Mus musculus: one gene and its partner. The protein of the gene in region 1 purifies or fractionates together with the protein of each later gene. This does not show direct contact. Links are inferred from orthologs where the notes say so. Each region holds a gene or a part of one and is shown on either strand. Other genes may lie near its edges.

Region 1 (10,047 bases):
TCTCATTTACATCTTAAAGTTATTAGATTAAGGCTGAAAATTTTCACTTTTTTGGCTCATTGTTGGATTTTTTTTTCCAGTGTCATAATCGCCATAAAATCAGGTATGATACTCCCCTGTTCCTAATAATCTGAAATAACCAATGAGAACATTTCTTCTATTTTGTTGGTTAATGATAATTTCACAAAAATTCCTTATAATACTAGCAGAAAGTAAATAGCAGCTAACGGAGGGCTGGGGTAACTCGGTGGTAGAGCACTGGCTTAGCACGGGTAAGTTCCTGAGTTTACAGGCACATACCCCCCTAAAAGTAAGTCTGCCTACTGACTTTCTGTTTTGATTTGTTTTGTATTTTGAGACAAGGTTTCTCTGGGTAGTCCTGGCTGTGCTGGATCTCACTTTGCAGACCAGTCTAGCTTTGAACTTCAATCTGCCAGCCTCTATCTCCTGAGTGCTGGAACTAATGGACCGGCTTGGCTACTAAACGTTTGACATGGATGCTATAAACTGAACAACCCTACACTGACTTTCTAGAGGTATGTTTCTGAAGGGTAAACAATATTTGCTTTCATTTGCTGAGACAGTTCTGATAAGGTAGCTCATGAACTTGACTATCAGGAGACCTGAGTTGGAAAACCAGTTTTACCATCTATTAGGTGCATGGTCTTAGTCCTAACCACTCACACATTAACTTAAAAAACATCTTAGCTTTAGTAGCTGGTACACTGTAGGTTTCCAACAAATAGCTACTATGCTTCACAATGTGTTCCTTGACACTTAACGGTGCTCTGTAGTCACAATGCCACCAAGGTATTTAGGATTAAAAAGCACAATCCATAAAATAGTGCTAAGTAAGTTTACACGAGGTTTGTTACAGAAATTCAGCAACTTACCTTAGGAGGGATCATTTAAAAAACAAAGCAGAAGGTGGTGATGAAGATGAAGTTTAGCAGCAGAGCACCTGGCCTGCATTTGTGAGGACTTGGATTTGGTTATGCCACAAAAACCCTAGAAGCTACAGGTATGTGTGCACATACGTATTATAAGCACGTTGTAGATCCTTAAGGTAGAAGACAGAATTCTAAATACACAGGAAAAAGCCAGCAATTGCTTTGTTAAACTGAATGATCAGGTTTTGGTTTTGTGTGCCCATATCACAGCACTAGGGAAGTGAAGGTAGGAAGACTGGGAGCTAGCTTGGGCTACGTGGTCATACCCTGTCTTAGATAGGGTGTTACTGCTGTGAACAGACACCATGACCAAGTCTTATAAAGGACATTTAATTGAGGCTGGCTTACAGGTTCAGAGGTTCAGTCCATTATCATTAAGGTGGGAGAATGGCAGCATCCAGGCAGGCACAGTGCAGGCAGAGCTGAGAGTTCTACATCTTCATCTGAAGGCTGCTAGTGAAAGACCGGCTCCCAGGTAGTTAAGACAAGGATATTACAGCCCACATACACAAGGCTGCACCGCTTCAATAAGGCCACACCTCCCAACAGTGCCACTCCCTGGGCCAAGCATATACAAACAATCATATATCCTGACCTAAAATATATACAAAGCAATGAATTAAAATTTAGATGGGTTTTAAGCTAGGTAGGCATGGTGGCTGAGGCCTGTAACCCTAGCATTTGGGAGGCAGAGGCAAGAGGACTGCTACAGGGTCATTCTATGTATTGTTTCAGTCCAGTCAAGAGGACGCCGAGAGACCATATCCCCCCCAAACAGCACCACCACCATCACAGGTGACTTAGCAGGCACATTATCCACAACCATTTACCTGTTTCTCTTCTTCTGGCATGTTTTTTTCCAGTTCAATTAGGTATTCTTCATCCAGTTCAGAACTAGAATCATCGCTGGCTTTGCTCCCTGCCACGTGCGCCCCTGGCTGTTCCTCCTCAAACGAGGCACTACAGTCATGAAAACATTCCTCTTCAACATGGTCGTCCTGTGGATGGGCTTCAGCAGCCTTCGGCAGCTTGCTCTGGCAGTGCTGACCCTTGGGATCAGAAACCATGGGGCTGGCAGACTCTCCTTCTTGAGGATCTGCGACTTTCAGACCATTGAACAGATCTTCTGGGACCTTACAGTCTTCTGACTTTTCCTCCATGCTGAGTTCAGGGAGGGAGGTACGGCTAAATGTCTGGAAAAAAAGAAAAATAATGTTTTTTAGTTATCTTCGTATATATGCAGTCTTTTTTGTTTTTTGTTTTTTTCAAAACAGGGTTTCTCTGTGTAGCCCTACCTGTCCTGGAACTCACTCTGTAGACCAGGCTGGCCTCTGCCTCCCAAGTGCTGGGATTAAAGGTGTGAGCCACTAGTGCCCGGCTGTATACAGTCTTAAATCCCTTCTGTCGGATATTAGCCCCGAAATTTAGAATACCCAAGATATAAGATACAATTTGCTAAACGCATGAAACTCAAGAAGAACGAAGACCAAAGTGTGGACACTTTGCCCCTTCTTAGAATTGGGAACAAAACACCCATGGAAGGAGTTACAGAGACAAAGTTTGGAACTGAGACGAAAAGATGGACCATCTAGAAACTGCCATATCCGGGGATCCATCTCATAATCAGCTTCCAAACGCTGACACCATTGCATACACTAGCAAGATTTTGCTGAAAGGACCCAGATATGGCTCTCTTGTGAGACTATGCCAGGGCCTGGCAAACACAGAAGTGGATGCTCACAGTCAGCTATTGGATGGATCACAGGGCCCCCAATGGAGGAGCTAGAGAAAGTACTCAAGGAGCTGAAGGGATCTGCAATCCTATAGGTGGTACAACAATATGAACTAACCAGTACCCTGGAGCTCTTGTCTCCAGCTGCATATGAATCAGAAGATGGCCTAGGCGGCCATCAGTGGAAAGAGAGCCCCATTGGTCGTGCAAACTTTATATGCCTCAGTACAGGGGAACGCCAGGGCTAAGAAGTGGGAGTGGGTGGGTAGGGGAGTGGGTGGGGGAGCGTGTGGAGGACTTTTGGGATAGCATTGGAAATAAATGAAATAAATACCCAATAAAAAAAATATGGAAAAAAAAAACCCTTCTGTCTTTCACACCTAAACAAACTTCTACATATAACCCCGCCAAACACAGCTTGACTTTCTTTGACTGGGGAGTCATTATTTTTATTTATTTGTTTTATAAGTATTATTGGTTTTTTTGTTTTGTTTTGTTTTCTAGACAGGGTTTCTCTGTGTAGCCCTGGCTATCCTGGAACTCACTTTGTAGACCAGGCTGGCCTCGAACTCAGAAATCTGCCTGCCTCTGCCTCCTGAGTGCTGAGATTAAAGGAGTGCACCACCATGCCCGGCTTGTTTTTTTTTGTTTGTTTGTTTTTGTTTTTTGAGACAGGGTTTCTCTGTGTGACCCTGGCTGTTCTGGAACTTGTTTTGTTCATCAGGCTGGCCTTGATCTCAGAGATCCACCCTCCTCTGTCTCCCCATTGCTGGATTAAAGGAGTATGGATCATGCCTGTCCAAGGAAGTCATTTTAAAAACAGGATATCACCAATTGTGGTGGCCCATTCCTGCAGTCTCATCATTGGGGAGATGTAGTTAGAAAGATCAGAAGTTCAAGGCCATCCTTGGTTACACAGCAAATGTGAGGCTAGCCTGGGCTATGAGACCCTGTATTAGGCCCCTCCCCAGCCCCAAACTAGAGTATAATAAACTCACACTCAATGCCAATTATCATTTTAACTGATAGTCTTGCTGATCAAATATGGTATCAGACTTATACCAAGACTAACATCCCCACTTCCCACTGGTGTTGGAGACCGAATCTCAGACTTTGTGGTACATGTAAGCCATTTAAACAACTGAACCACACCCTCGATCCATACCCTAAATGAAAAGACTGATTTTAATGTGACTTTTCCACGTCCGGCAGCTTGCTGGATGGCACAAATTAGACAGAATCCAAAACAGCTGCAGGGGAAAAAAAAAGAAAGAAAGAAAGAAAGAAAGAAAGAAAGAGTTCTAATCTTTGTTCAGAATAAATGACCAAGTTGTCAACAGGAAACAATGAAGTCCGAATGGGACACTATCGCCACCGGGAGCCGAAGAATAAGTTTCTTATGGAGCCCAAGATGGCATCTGTGCCCAAATCGTGCTTATCATCGTAAGCAAATGCAAGCGGTATAGCTTAGGTAGCTAATTCTGGAAGGGGAGCCTTTGCGCAGATGTTTTCACAGGCATCCTCCAGGGACTCAGAACTCAGCCTTGGAAGAGCCGGTTCTCAACTCTCGCTGCGCAACCCTGCTGCCCAGATCCTGACAATATTGGTCTGCAGTCAGGTCAGAGCATCTCTGTTTTTTTAAAGTGACTCTGATGATTTTACGTTCATCCTATTAACCACTGCTGCTCTAGAAGCTGAGTCAGAACCTCTGCGGTGCCTGCCACCCCTCTGGTCGCAGCAAAACCACGCCAATGACCCAGTGTCGCGTTAAAGTCCGAATTCGTCCTAGCCTGTTAAAAGGAAAAGTTAAAAGGGAGGGTCAGGACTCGCAGGCTTCGCTTTTACTCGAGTGTCGCGTCCCTCCCGGCTATGAGTCAAGGTTAGAAAAGCCCCTCCCCGCGCGACCCCGCGCCTGTCCCAGGCCACAGTCCTCACCGAACGCCGCGAGACCCACGATGGGCTTCACAACCTCCCAGCTCCTCTCTCCACCGCTCCTGCCTCCGAGTCCTTCTACTTCCTCCTGAGTCAGGTGCACTTCCGGCCGCGCTGGCCAATGGCGCCATTGCTGGCAAAGCATTCTGGGAAATGTAGTGGCCAACTCGAAGAGAGTGAGCGGAAGTAGCTGTGTGACGTCACTGTACGGCTCAGTACTATGAGCCTCAGCTGTCATCTTGAGTTATGTCAAATCCTGCCAATTAGCACAAAGTAATTTTTCAAACGCGACTACTTGTGGCTTTAAAAACGTCTTTATTCTGGCGTCCCTCATGTTAGGAATGTGCATAAGAACCCGAAAACATCCTTCGTCCCTAAATAAACATTTCTTTCCAGTAGTTTCCAAAGTGCCTTTCAAGAGCTCTGTTAGGAGAGTAACAGTTTTCAAAACAGTAAATATTACACACTTTTTCCACTCATTTTCTCATGACTGTACAGCGCTTTCCAGAGGTTGTCTTCTGATATAGTGCAACAGAAGGAATACAAAAAGGGGTGAATTATTCTAGCTGTTAGGCAAGTCCGTCTATTTGTGAGCTAGACCTCCAGGCCTTCACCTGTCCTGTATTAAATCAGAGATTTGCAAAAAATTGAAACAATGCCATTCTTCTTGTGACAGGATAGCAAAGATGGAGAAAATTAAAAAGACATCGGAAAGGAAAGTAGCCTTTCATCAAGACTGGTTAAGTCTCTCCTAGGCTCAGTCATGAATTCCCACAAGGGGCTAGGAAGCATGACTTAGCAATTGAGAGCAATGACTGCACTTTCAGAGGACCAGGGTTCAATCCCCAGTACTCACATAGCAGCTTACCACAACTTTAACTCCAGTTCCAGGGCATTTAAGATCCTCTTCTGAACTTCATGGCCACCAGGCACACACATGGTAAACAGGCATACATGTAAACAAACACTCATGCACACCAGAAGAGTTAATTAGATAACAGTAAAGTTAAAAAAATTCCATAGAGTTATACAAAATTTCATAGACAGAAATACTGTTCCTTTGATTTATTTGTTTTTAAATGTAGATACTTTAAGAATTAACACAGAAGCTAGGCAGTGGTGTCACTTGCCTTTAATCCCAGCACATGGGAGGCAGAGGCAGGCAGATTTCTGAGTTGAGGCCAGCCTTGTCTAAAGAGTGAGTTCGAGGACAGCCGGAGCTATACAGAATTATTAAAAAAAAAAAAGATTTAACACTGAAATGAAACATAAGACATACCCATACCGCTGGGCTGTGGTGGCGCACGCCTTTAATCCCAGCACTTGGGAGGCAGAGGCAGGGGGATTTCTGAGTTCGAGGCCAGACTGGTCTACAAAGTGAGTTCCAGGACAGCCAGGGCTAAACAGAGAAACCCTGTCTCGAAAAACAAAACAAAACAAGACATACTCATACCCAGTGAAGCATGAGCCATATTTCTGACTCGTAATTTTCTGACAAATAAGGTTGTGAGATTGTGAGGGGCTAGGGAGATGAGAGATGACTTAGTGTGACAATAAGGCACTTGCCAGCAAGCTTGCTGACCAGAGTCTGATCTCCAGGAACATGTGGTAGAAGGAGAGAACTAGCCCCTGAATGTTGTCTTCTCATCCACACCTATATGTCATTCACACACCTTTATCCACCTCTCTCTATCTCTCCCTTTCCTGATAAATACTAATACTCAACAAAAGAAATGAAAAGTATACGATTCTGGTGTTATTTTCCATAGTTGTTTATGTAATTTGGTTCACTTGAAAAGATGAACTAATAGCAGGAGTTTTTCTTAAAATTTTGAGTAAATATTTACCGTGATAAAAGCATTGAAAAAGTATACCACGTATACCACATCCTTTATTGTTTGTTTGTTTGTTTGTTTTGTTTTTTTTTGTCAAACAGGGTTTCTCTGTATAGCCCTGGCTGTCCTGGAACTCACTCTGCAGGCCAGGCTGACCTCGAACTCAGAAATCTGCGTGCCTCTGCTTCCCAAGTGCTGGGATTAAAGGCGTGTGCCACCACTGCCCCATTTTCAAATCTCTTAAACAGTGTAACTTTAAAATCCACCAGAACAGGTATAATGGGTATAATCTCAGTGCTTGGGAGGTGGAGGCAGTAAGATCACAGAACTTTGTGGCCAGACTGGGTAGGTAGTCTGGGCGTAGTGAGTTCTAGGTCAGCTACGTCTAGAAAGTGAATAGCCATCTGAAATGCTAGCAAAAATGTATTTATATATTAGCTACCAACATCCCCCACCCCCCACGGGCCTGCTGTAATCCCAGCTATTTCCTTGAAGGTGAGATTGGAAGGTTGAAAGTTACAGATGAGTCTGCCTGGGCTATTGAGAGAGTCCACAACTAACCTGGGCATCTTAGTAAGACCATACATGCACAAAACAAAAAGTTTAAAAAACAAACAAACAAACAAACAAACAAACTTGCCTATCACATCTAAGGTCCTTTGTTTAATCTCTATCACTGAAAAGAGAGGGTGTGGGGGAGGGGGAGTAGGAGGGAGGGGAAAAGAGGACAAGGAAGTGGATCTCTCTCTCTCTCTCTCTCTCTCTCTCTCTCTCACACACACACACACACACACACACACACACACACACACACAAGTGCGTGTGTACTGATCACACTGTGAGATTGTGTAGTTAGAAACCTGTTTCTAGTTATGGTGTGTCTCAGCGCTAGGACACACCTTTCATGCAAGAGCTTTCTATTTACTGTAAACAGGATTAAATGGAGTCAACCTTAGGCCAAGAGGTGGAACAAGCAACCAGTTGACAGGAAGTGAACATAGAAAAAAGAACCATAGAGCATGAGAGGAAGTCAGGAGGGCAGATAGAAAGATGCAGGGAGAAGAAAGGAGGGACATTCAGTTGGAAGGGTTTTAAGACTGTGGAGGAAGCCGGGTGTGGTGGCGCACACCTTTAATCCCAGCACTCGGGAGGCAAAAGCAGTCGGATTTCTGAGTTCGAGGCCAGCCTGGTCTACAAAGTGAGTTCCAGGACAGCCAGGGCTATACAGAGAAACCCTGCCTCGAAAAAAAAAAGACTGTGTAGAGGAAATAAACAGAAGCAGATACATAGACCCTGTCTCAAACAAACAAAACAAGGGCCAGTGAGATGGCTCAGTAGGTAAAGGCCCTTGTTGCCAAGGCTGACTACCTGAGTTCAAGCCTCAGGACTCACAATGTAGAAGAGAATCAACTCCCCTGAGTTGTCTTCTGGCTTCCATAAGTAACCATTTTACATAACTTTCTATCCTACTATGGCTGCAATAAAACCTGAAACTCCTTACTGTGACCCCCCCCCCCCAGACTTGTGAGATTCTGCCTCTATTTCTGCTGGGGTCACTGTCCCCCTTAGTCACTTGCTATTCCTAACTGTGCAGAGACTCTTTTCCCTTCTCCAGACCTCTGTGCACTGTGTCCTCTGTGTGACACTGGTGACAGCTGCTCTGTGTCATGCTTGAACTCTTTCTGCAGATATTCCCTTACTGCCGCTAAAGTTTCTCACTCTATCACATGGTCTCCTGTCTTTCCATCACCACCTGGAAGTGATGCCCTTTAGTCCATCAAAAGATCCACAAGACTCTTGTCTGCTTGACTTCCTGTACAGAGATCTAGAAATTTTCCCAGGACAAAACAGGAAACCAAAAAGGTCTTTTTAACCTACTTCATTCATGTATTTATTCACTTGTCTAAGACATGTATCCTGGGCTGACCTTGAACTCAAAATTTAGCTGATCTCCAATCCTCTTATTTCAAGCACCCTTGCCCCGCTCTCCCCCTAGTGTTGGGATAGAGGCATGTACCACAACACCTGGTTTTATCCAGTTTAGGGATTGACTCAACTAACTGAGCCATAGCCCCAGCTCCAGAATTCAAATATTTATTGTGGAAATATATAAAATCAGTAGGTGCCATAATTACAATGTTAAGACTAAGAGTCAGAAAGTTTAAAGTCTGACCTCCGACCCTCACCAGTTACGAAGGGAAGCACAGAGCAAGGGTATAAAGTCTGGTCTGGCCACAGGGTATAAGTTCTTCTAAAGGACTAAGACACAGGACAGATAGAGTTACATTAACTGCAAAAACAAAAAGAGCCTTTGAAAGTCATTTATCCCTACAATAATATTTCTGGGTGTATACTTGGCATGAAAATCCCGTAATTGTTCCGTTTCAGACAACTGGCTCAGAGCCTGGCTGCAAATGAGATCTCTGTGGCTGGCAATGGATGGATGAAGGTACCATGTGTAACTGAGACTCGAAGTCTTGGAAGGAGTTATCCAGGAAGTTGGCAAGGTCAGCATCTTACTCCCAGCTGCCCAGCCCCCATTTGCCCTCAACCTTGGTCATTTGGCCAAAAAAGAGACTTGAGAGCTTCCATTATACACAGAACAGTGAGCTTGCACATTTGCCCTTCCCTTAGGACTCATCAGCCTGGACAAATAATTTATTCTGAGTTATGAAACATATTTTCAGCCTCTTGTTATATTAAATATTGATGCCTGTGTTAAAGCATAATGTACTGTGTGCATTTTGTACTTTGTAAAGTCAGGCAGGAAGCCAAGTCTTTCTTTTTTTTTTTTTTTCTTTTGAGTCTGGGTCTAAGTATGTGGACCAGGCTGGCCTTGAACTCACAGAGATCTGCCTGCCTCTGTCTCCCAAGTGCTGAGTGTTCCACCATGCCCTGCCCTGCTCTGTCTGTCTGTCTGTCTGTCTCTGTCCCTCCCTCTCTCCCTCCTTCTCACTATCATCTCTCTCTTTCCCTCTTTCCCTCCCTCCCTATCTCTATTGCCCATTCTTTCCTCCCCGACTCTCTCCTCTCCGTCCTTTTCCTCTTCCTTTCTTCTGGACAGGGTTTCACCTAGCTCAGGCTGGCTTCAAACTTGCTATGTAGCTATATAGGACTTTGAACTAGTAATCCATCTGCCTCCACGTCCTGAGTGCTCAGGATGTTAAGCATGTGCTACCACACCCAGCTAGGCCAGTTTTGGGCCAGGAGTCTGCAGGAAGAGATGTGTGCTGAGCACTAGCCGAATACCAAGCGTGATTCTAAGTACTGCATGATCACTGAGCACTAGCCGAATACCAAGCGTGATTCTAAGTACTGCATGATCACTGAGTCTTCTGCTCCTTCTGAATGGAAAGGAACTCCCTTTACCACAGAACAGAAAGAGTCAGCCTCTGGCCTGGTCCAAGCAGAGGGAATGGGGGATGGAGTAGTCTCCAACTTTCCAAGTGGGAAACTGTGTATTGTAATGCTAAGTACAGCCTCTAAGACCTGGCGTCCACAAGTGTACCAAGTGACATTATATGACCTTGCCCCCGAGTTATTTCTGATTGGTAAATAAAGATGATGACAACTAATAGCTGGGCAGAAGAGACATTAT
Region 2 (9,370 bases), on another chromosome or scaffold:
ACTTCCCAGAGGACACAGGGAGGGGGGAACCTCTGCTTTCATCACTCCTGGGGTCTGGCGGGGTGGGGGTGGGGGGCAGCAGTGTTCTAGCTTTACAGAACTAAGTATCTTTCAAATTGTATGGCAGGGAAATATTTTTTAAAGCATGTAATTTCTGAAGATGTCTTTGTAGAAGGCTGTTAGTGGTGGCGGATCTTGTTTTTAATGACGCAGTTTAATAATGAGGGACTTTTCCATTTATATTCAAAACCGTGTTTGCCAGCATGTACAGCAGGTGAAGAGATAGAATTATGAGCCCATCAAAAATACTTAGGCTTCCTGTAATATGACATTAAATTTAGTATTTGTATAACCTCTGTGAATTCTAATCGCACGAAGTGGTAAGCTTTTATTTGCAGTTCAGTTGTGCACATTGCCTGTCCCTATGCCAAGTGCATTACACATGCAGAGTGTCCACAGGAAGCATGGGCAGAATCATTAAAGACACCAGATCTAGATACAGACTCACTTTACTCAGTGTGCCCTCGGATTGAAGATGGTTTAAAGCCCAGCGTAGCTCTCCCAGTATCTGAGTCTGTGTTAAACTGGAATTCAGAGCAGAGGGCGCATGTTGGTTTCTGAGAGTCCCTTCAGGGCTCGTTTTAATTATGTTTAGACATAAAGTTCTTCCAGTGAGGTGCAGAGAACAGAATGAGAATCAGCAGCTCGTGGGATGGGGATGCTGGTCAATTAATGTAAGTGGATAGTATTGCAATTGATAATTAATCCGTTTATGATGGTGCTGGCTAGGGGGGGGATGTTGCTGTTTACTGGCATTGGACCAAGCAGCTGTGGGCTGCAGCATCCAGGTGTTGAGCCTCAGGGTAGAAGTGAACTTAACCTGTTAACAAAGAAGCCTGGCATTTGTCTTCCGGTGTGGACAGAGGGGCTGCTGTGGGGACTTCCTTGGATCCAGCCCTTGCTTTGGAGGCTCTGATGAATAAGCGCAGCCCTTTCACTGGATGGCCTCCATGAGCCGTCGTCCTCCCCACTCCCAGAGAAGAGCAGCCTAGGCTGCAGTTTAAGATAAGTCTCTAACCTTTTCACCAGATTAGATTATGGCTTAAAATATTTTACCAACAAAAACTTAGCTTAATTGTGCTCACAGCCTTTCAGATCTTGCTGTAGGACACCGGCTTCTTGGGAAGCCCTTTCCCATCTTCTCATGAATATGACCCAAGGGCAGAACCTAGAAGACTGCTCAAGAGATACCTAGCTGAAAGGTACCTTTTGGCTCTTCAAGGTGAGCCAGGAGTACAGTCTATAAAACTTGGGGCAGCAGAAGGTGCTGAAAGTGATCTCAGCCTGTCCTTGTAGGTGGTGTCTTTGGCTCCCCTTGAAGTCCCATCCTACCTACTCTTTGTAACTTCAGTGCCAGCTCATTGCAGAAGGAAGGGAGAGGACAAGGTAGTTGGGAGAGTCCTGGCCATGAGCACCCAGAAAGCAGGCGAGAGAGAAGTTGCCAGGCACAGGAACTGCCCCTGCCCGCCTTAGGCCTCACTGGTCTCTGTTGTAGATGGTCAGTCCTCAGAGGTTTGTCTCAGTCTCCCTGAGATCAGCTAACACTTGGTGGGGCTCAGGGTGCACAGTTATACTAGGAGGCTGTGTTCTGCTGTTAGCTATGGCATAGGAAGGGTGAGGGGCCTTGCTGTTTGACCTGTTACAGGCATCCTCTCTCTTGATCCTGAAGAAAGGCTGAGGGCCGCACCGTGGGCTCTGCACAAGCAGATGGAGCAGACTGCCAGGTGTTTGTTACCTGAGCTGAGCACGTGAGCCAGAGAGGCCCATAGAGGACACAGGTAGAGCAGCAGTGTTCTTGTAACCAGGTGAGGTTAGTTATAGACCTGCTCGGTTTGAATAGTAGAGGCCCAGGAAAGTAGTCACAGTGGCCCCTGAAGGAAACAATGAACTTACTCATGGCAAAGGCTTGGGGCCTACCCAGTTGTCTCAGGAGTCCAGCATTCATGGCCACACTAATCACCCTAGCTGTAAGAAGCTCACACTTGTCTTCTGCGACATTGCCGCAAATGCATTGAGTTGGTAGATGATGCTCTTCTGACTCTCGGACTGTGAAAGGAGGGAAGAAGCCCAGAGGATGTGAGCAACTCCACTGGGTCTCTTCTGCTTGGGCAGTAGCTGCTGTTACAGGAAGTTGTCATCTGAGTGCTGTAGGGGGCTGTGGGGTATCTTCCTAGGTCTAGAAAGCTGATTTGGTGGGAAAGAAACAGCTCTGCAGAACCTCTGCTTGGGACTAAGAGCGCGAGTGAGTGAGAGTCAAATGGTTGTGGATTTGTCGCATGTGGAGACATCTTCAGGCTAGATTCAGAGACTGTGCAGTGGAGCTCTGTAGATGTTCCTTACTTACTTGCCTGTTCCACTGTGGTATACATGAAAACGGCCATGGCTGCCTGGCTCCCCGGAAGCAGCCTTTATGCTGCGTTTAACCAGATTGTCATTTTCTAAGCCAGTGTGTGTTTTAAGTGGCCCGGTTTTTCTCTTTTGAGGGAAGTCTGGTGTGATCGATCCACTTCTTCATGACCCTGAAGGTTCTTTGCAAGGGTCCTACCTTCATGCCTAATGCAGCAGGCTGTGTCCTCATCCCAGTGTGGGTGAGGGGTGACTGAGCCCAGGTTGTCTCCTGGTAACAGGCCTCTTTTAATGTTCTGTCAGCAGATGCGCTCTGAAAGGAGGGACGGTTCACTTAGGGTTTTTATCATCAGTGTCTCTGGTATTTAAATGAAATAAATTAAGTTAATGGGAAGCTCTTTTATAGCCTGTCATGGAAAAAGTACATAATTTGTGCCACAATTTGCAGCGAGCTAGCGCTGACCAACATTTATTCCTCCATGTTCTCATAAAATCTCTGCTGAGACTGGATTTGACAGGAGCTGGTGGCAGCTGAGGAACAGGAACTCGGTGGTGTACGTGAAGGGCTCCATGAGGCGGGGGGTGGGTCCTAGGTGTACCAAGGGTCTGTAGAGTGTCATCTACAGAAAGGACAGCCAGTGCGAGGCAGACAGCTGCTTCTCTTCTTGTTTCTGCAGTGGGGGAGGGGCAAGTCTCCACCTTATACCCAGAGCTTCTTAGAAGAGCACTCCAGAGGCCCTGGTTCCCATTCTGGGCTGAGGTTCTCTGGTTATCCTCACTGGGGCCCTGAACATTGATGTATGTTGACTTAGGAATTGTGACTGGCCACCACTAGGCCTGCCTGTGTGCCCTGCCATCAAGTGTTTCTCTGGGCTCTCCACTATGGGGCTGAGCAGTAGGGTGCTGTAGTCTAGGAATGGGGGTAGTGAGGCTGTAGACCAGGATGCTGTAGGCCCAGGAGTGGGGTGGTGAGGCTGTCGACCATGATGCTGTAGGCCAGGAGTGGGGTGGTGAGGCTGTCGACCATGATGCTGTAGGCCAGGAGTGAGGTGGTGAGGCTGTCGACCATGATGCTGTAGGCCAGGAGTGGGGTGGTGATGGTTGTAGGCAAAGCTGCGGTTTTGAGGTCTTGAGGTATATGCTTACTCAGAGTAGCACAGGGATCATATGCAGTGCTGCCTTCAAAGCTGCCCCTGTGGCTCAGGCATGGGTGCAGATAGTTCCTTTCTCTTTAGGTTGCCTATAGAAAGGGCCCATAGGCACTAGTCCAGTTGATTCCCTCTAGAGAGGGCCAGGAAGGCAGTGTATGTGGCAGCTGTGCTCCTGTGTAGTCTCTAAACTTTTTGTGTTAGGGACAGTTGAAGACCCCAAAGAGTGTAGCAGGTCTTTGTGAGCTGTAGTGATATTTATTATATTAAAATTTTTTAAATGACTAATTTCTTTAAAAATTACAATCCGTCAATTACATGTTAGTAGTAATACTTTTTATGAAAGTAGCTATTCTCAAAGAAATTGGAAGGCTGGCGTTGTTGACAGCTTCTGCAAATCTGACGTCTTAATAGGCTGCTTCTCGTGTCTGCTTCATTCAGTACGCTGCACCGCTGTCGTGGTGGGTGGGTCTCCCAGACAGGAAGTTAACAGCATCTTTAGACAGCTCTGAGGCAGACAAGAAGCATTTTCTTTGTTTTGCTTCTTTTTTTTTTTTTCAATACTAGGGTTGACCCAGGCTTTGCGTGTGCTTTGTAGACCAAGCTGGCCTCAAATTGAGAGCCACCTGCCTCCGCCTCTGCCTCCAGAGTGCGGGATTAAAGGTGTGGGCTACCAACTACAGGCAAATCGGACCCATAGTGTGGGAATGAATGTAAGCCTGGACTCAGCCAGGCAGGAACCCCTCCTAGCCTTTTATCTCCTCCTATCTAGGAAGGAGAAACTTCTCATGGGACAGACTGCAGAAGGCAGGCCTGATATCCTTTGATACACAGTAGCAGGAGCTGTGGGGCAGACCTTTGGGTTTGTGTGTGTGTGTGTGTGTGTGTGTGTGTGTGCGTGCGTGCGTGTGCCTGTGTGTGTGTGTGTGTGTGTGTGCGTGTGTGCGTGCCTGTGTGTGTGTGCGTGCGTGCGTGTGCCTGTGTGTGTGTGTGTGTGCGTGTGTGCGTGCCTGTGTGTGTGTGCGTGTGTGCGTGCCTGTGTGTGTGTGTGTGTGTGTGTGTGCGCGCGTGCCTGTGTGTGTGTGTGTGTGTGTGTGTGCGTGCCTGTGTGTGTGTGCATGCGTGCCTGTGTGTGTGTGTGTGTGTGTGTGTGCGCGCGCGTGCCTGTGTGTGTGTGTGTGTGTGTGCGTGCCTCTGTGTGTGTGTGCGTGCCTATGTGTGTGTGTGCGTGTGTGTGTGTGTGTGTGTGTGCGCACGCGTACGTGTGTGCGTGCCTGTGTGTGTGTGTGTGCGCGCGCGTGCGCGTGTGTGCGTGCCTGTGTGTGTGTGTGTGTGTGTGTGCGCGCGTGCCTGTGTGTGTGTGTGTGTGTGTGCGTGTGTGCGTGCCTGTGTGTGTGCGTGCGTGTGTGCGTGCCTGTGTGTGTGTGTGTGCGTGTGTGCGTGCCTGTGTGTGTGTGTGTGCGTGTGTGCGTGCCTGTGTGTGTGTGTGCGTGTGTGCGTGCCTGTGTGTGTGCGTGCGTGTGTGCGTGCCTGTGTGTGTGTGTGTGCGTGTGTGCGTGCCTGTGTGTGCGTGTGTGCGTGCCTGTGTGTGTGTGTGCGTGTGTGCGTGCCTGTGTGTGTGCGCGCGTGTGCATGCATTTGTGGACTAAGGAAACTGGGTTCTATTTCAGGTTTTTCTGTTTTTTATTTTGCTGTTGTTGTTGTTTTAATCAGAAAAATAGACAGCAGAATAATGCCCTCCTCCCACAGCAGCGCCTGCTTCTTCGGATGGAGTGGGGTAATGGCAGTCTGAAGAGCAGGAGCCTAGGTTCTGGTTGGAGATGCAAGGCCCACACTGACTCTGAGGTGCCCCCTGATTGTGAACTTAGGTTTCAGGGAAGGCCACTAGGGGCAAAGCTTATTAAAGCTGTGCAGCAGAGAGAGTATAGCAGCCCTCCTATAACTGGGCCTGGCTGAGTCATGGGGAAACAGGTCCGAGGAAGTGAATCAGAATACAAGACTCCCTCAGTACAGCGGGGTGCCTTGGGTGAGCTCCCTCTGGGTTCTGGGTGGGGGTAGGGCAGGAGTTGGAATTGCTTTTCCTGCTGTGGCAAATCCAGCTTTTATGCCGTCTCCAGAATTCTATTGGCAAAATCATATTTCAAGCCTTACCTTGATGAGCTGCGTGGGAAATGGGGTGGAGAGAAGTGAAAACCATCCTGAAATGATTTGAGTTATTCTGTTTTCTTTCTCGAAAAGATCATTTGGCAATGTTTCCTTGAGAAAAATAGGACTTTGGTGTTTCTCCCATTTTATGTCTTCAGCGAGAGCTGTGAGATAGGTGAGGGTGGCTCTGTGTGAGCGCACAATCTTTGTATCAGAAATCAGGCACCCAAGTTCCAGACCCACCTACAGCTCAGCTGGCACCTGCTGTGAGGCTGGGACAGGCCCCAGTTTTTCTGGCCTTAACTGCTGACCTGAAAGATGGGGGTTGGGGAAGTTGTACATCTCTGCTGGCCACGGCCTTCCTCAGGGTCCAGATGGGAGAGCTGGGGAGCTGTTTTCCTCCACAGTGTAAGACCTAGCGTGACAAACGACTCCGATAACCACATTGTGACCCTCCTAATGAAATATTTTCTTTCTCAGTGATGTTACAGCCTTTCGATTATGATCCCAATGAGAAAAGTAAACACAAGTTTATGGTTCAGTCTATGTTTGCTCCGCCTGACACTTCTGATATGGAGGCAGTAGTAAGTACGAACACTTCTTCTTCTCTCCAGCCCGCTAGGGCAGCCATGGCGGGTGCTGTTAGGGAGGTGTACACTCAGGCCCCTGTACCACTTTCCCAACTTTGATGAATAGCTTTAACATTTTACATGGCTGTTCTTTTCTGACTCGATGAACTGAACTTGCTTCAATTCTCTGCTCTTGTGGACCTTCTCCTCCCTCTCCTGCACCACAGCGGCGTGCTCTATCCTGAGTGGATGCTTCTGGCCTGTCTCCAGCCCTCATGCCCGGAAGGGTTTGCCTAACATTAAATGCCCCTCCCCTCCCCCCCAGTGATACTGCCCGCTGTTGCTTTCCTCTGCGGAGCGGAAGTAGCTCTGGTCAGCTTTGTTCTTCCCTCTTTACTGAGGACGGAGCTTGGGTCTTGTTCACACTAAGCATCTGCTCTGTCTCTGAACAGGCCCTGCTTCTTTGTTCTTTAATTGCCTTCATTTTTATCCCTCCTTCCTCATGTAAGTACATGTTTAACAGTGTCCCTAATTTTGGTAAAATTAAGATGCCTTCGTTTTTTATAAATAAGCAGGATTTTATGGTATTGATTTTTCCAGAAGAAGGGGCATTAGAACGGCAATTCTCCCCAAAGGTGGCTCTTACCTACTCCAGGAGACAGGACCTGGGGCCAGCACATGCGGCACTGATCCTCAATATCTGGCCAGCCCAGAGATGGCCTATCAGCAGTTGTTCTGTCTCCGAGCTCTATGTGGGGGCCTTCTCCCCCACCGCACAGGCTTTGCTTTGAGCCCGCTGTTCGCATTGGTGCCTACCTTGGGGCAGAAAGAGAAGGTTGAGACAAGTTTTGAGTTGGAGCGAGACCTTGTCATAAGACCGACCCAGGGCATTTCTCTGACCTTTCGTTTCCAGATTTGTGTTGTGTTAGTCTATGTGCTGAAGGGACACATGACAGGCACAGACGGTGGACCGTTGACAGGCCGTGACTTTGGCCTGGCTTCCTCTGTGGTGTAGCTGGAAAGGTGGGGGCTTGGCTGTCCTCGTCTGAAGCTGAGGCCTGCCTTTACCCGTGCTATGCCTGTTTTGAACGGACTTTGTTGATACTTCTTGAGGTTTAGGCCACCTGTGAATTGGGCATAAAAATGCAGCCCACAGGATTTTGAGGAGAGTGTGCCCACGTCTGACATGTCACCCACGTAATTAGGGCTGGGCGCTGAAGGCTGATAAAGGGACTTTTATTTCTCGGTGGGTTGTTCTTGAATAACTATTTTTAAGTGTTCGGGCAGCACATTTTGGAGGGCGCTGTGGACACACCCCACTGAGTAAAACTGAGTTGGACGCAGGTGGCTGTTGATTCTCCCACACCAGGCCCTGCTGTTTGGAGAGCCTGTGTTACTCTTAAGCTGACACCATGCAGGCAACCAAGAGCAGTGCCCTATTGTTCCTGCCTCGATATCCTGTGTGTGAACATTTGCTGCCTTAGCTGTCATAGGCTTTCTTGTGCTAGCTGCCTACAGAGGACGGCTGCTGACTATCCCTGAGCCCTGTAGAACACGGACACTGTTTACTATGTAGTACAATATGCAGTCAGTACAGTGAACTGGAGCTATCAGTAGCTGAAAGGGCTCACCCATCCAGTGCTCTCTGAGTACTCCAGAGTGGTCTGTGGTTTTTAAAAAACCCACAGCCCCTTGGGGGCTTTAGGGTCCGGTTCTGTGGGCTTGGAGGGCTTTGATTATTTCCTCATTAAATTCAGATTCAAATTTGGGGGTAAGAATGGCCCATACTCAGGTGGTGTTACTGGTGGCTTGTCCCACTCTTGGTGTGTTTTGGTGAGTTGGCTCAGGCAGTGTTAAGCCTGTCTGCCCTGTAGTTTGTAGGCAGATCTCTGAGACCACTTAAGTGTCCTGCTGACCAGCAATGAGCACCCAGAGCTGGCCCTCTCATGATCCTCTCTGACTCATAAGTGGCACACAATCACAGGCCTTGTACAGAACGGCAGACACACGTGTTAGTGTCTTCCTGTGTAGCTCTCTGCTCTCAGGGGTCCTGTGAGTGGGGATGTGCTGTCACATTGACTGCTTGTGCCACACCTAGGGTGGCAGTGCTCTGGTGCCAGACAGACTGAGGGCCCTAGTTGCCATGCACAGTTGGGAGGGTGAGGGTGGGTGTCTTCCTTTTCTGAGTTGTCACCTTGCTGCTCTACTGGTCTGTCATTCCCAACCCTTCCTGGAGTCCCATCTTCTACATCTGAATGGAGACATCAGTGAGGGGCACATACCAGAAAATCACTGATGGTTGTGGTAACTTGGGCAGGGCCACCCTGATGCAGCCACTGTAGTGGGATGTGCCCCACTGGCGTGTGCCAAGGTGGGCTAGATACTCATCCTCCAGCTCGCTTGGTAGTGTTTGCCCTGTCGTGTAAATTTCATTGTCTTAAAGAGACCTGGAATTGCCTTTATAGAGGGTGGGTGACCCTGTTTAGCCGTGCTCCCCAGGCCTGTACTGCCCATGCAGCAGCAATGAGTGAGCTTGGACAGGCTCTAAGGAGCCAGGCAGCAAGCCTGCAGGGTTTGCAAAGTGTGATAAATATTCAGGAGAGCTAGTGCATTTAATCTTGTCATGTTAAAAATATTGAAATCTCAGCGGACTTAAGTTCTTTATTTGATATACATCAGGGCTTTCTCATTAAGAGTATTTTTCTGAAATTGTCAGTTATAGGAGGAGAATTATTCTTCCAGCAGCTTGATAATACCCTGATTATTAAATTTAAATTGTTTTAGTGGAAGGAGGCAAAACCGGAAGACCTTATGGATTCAAAACTTAGATGTGTGTTTGAATTGCCAGCAGAAAATGCTAAACCAGTAAGTATGTCTCTAGTTAACCAGTAAGTATGTCTCTCTAGCTAACCAGTAAGTATGTCTCTAGTTAACCAGTAAGTATGTCTCTAGTTAATGGTAAGTATGTCTCTGGTTTAAGGTGATCGAATGCTGCAAGCTGGTACTGATTTGCATGCTGTCTCCTGTGAAACCAAGATTTAAGTTGGCAAATTATTTTCCTCTCTCTAATGTATGAAGGAAAAAATAAGCTGAAGTCAACAG

Evidence for each region.
Region 2: the proteins of Ttc1 (region 1) and Vapb purify together in Homo sapiens (affinity purification with mass spectrometry; 4 studies listed by BioGRID and IntAct, counting the BioPlex papers as one, with this or other methods). This does not show direct contact. The link is inferred for Mus musculus from reciprocal best matches to the Homo sapiens genes TTC1 and VAPB.

The regions. Positions count from the first base shown.
Region 1 is NC_000077.6:43,743,305-43,753,351, forward strand, and holds the start of Ttc1 (tetratricopeptide repeat protein 1), read right to left. Parts: upstream 4,705-10,047; 5' UTR 4,618-4,704; intron 2,144-4,617; 5' UTR 2,111-2,143; coding exon 1,781-2,110; intron 1-1,780.
Region 2 is NC_000068.7:173,765,342-173,774,711, forward strand, and holds part of Vapb (vesicle-associated membrane protein-associated protein B), read left to right. Parts: intron 1-6,179; coding exon 6,180-6,283; intron 6,284-9,052; coding exon 9,053-9,133; intron 9,134-9,370. UniProt on the Homo sapiens protein: Endoplasmic reticulum (ER)-anchored protein that mediates the formation of contact sites between the ER and endosomes via interaction with FFAT motif-containing proteins such as STARD3 or WDR44.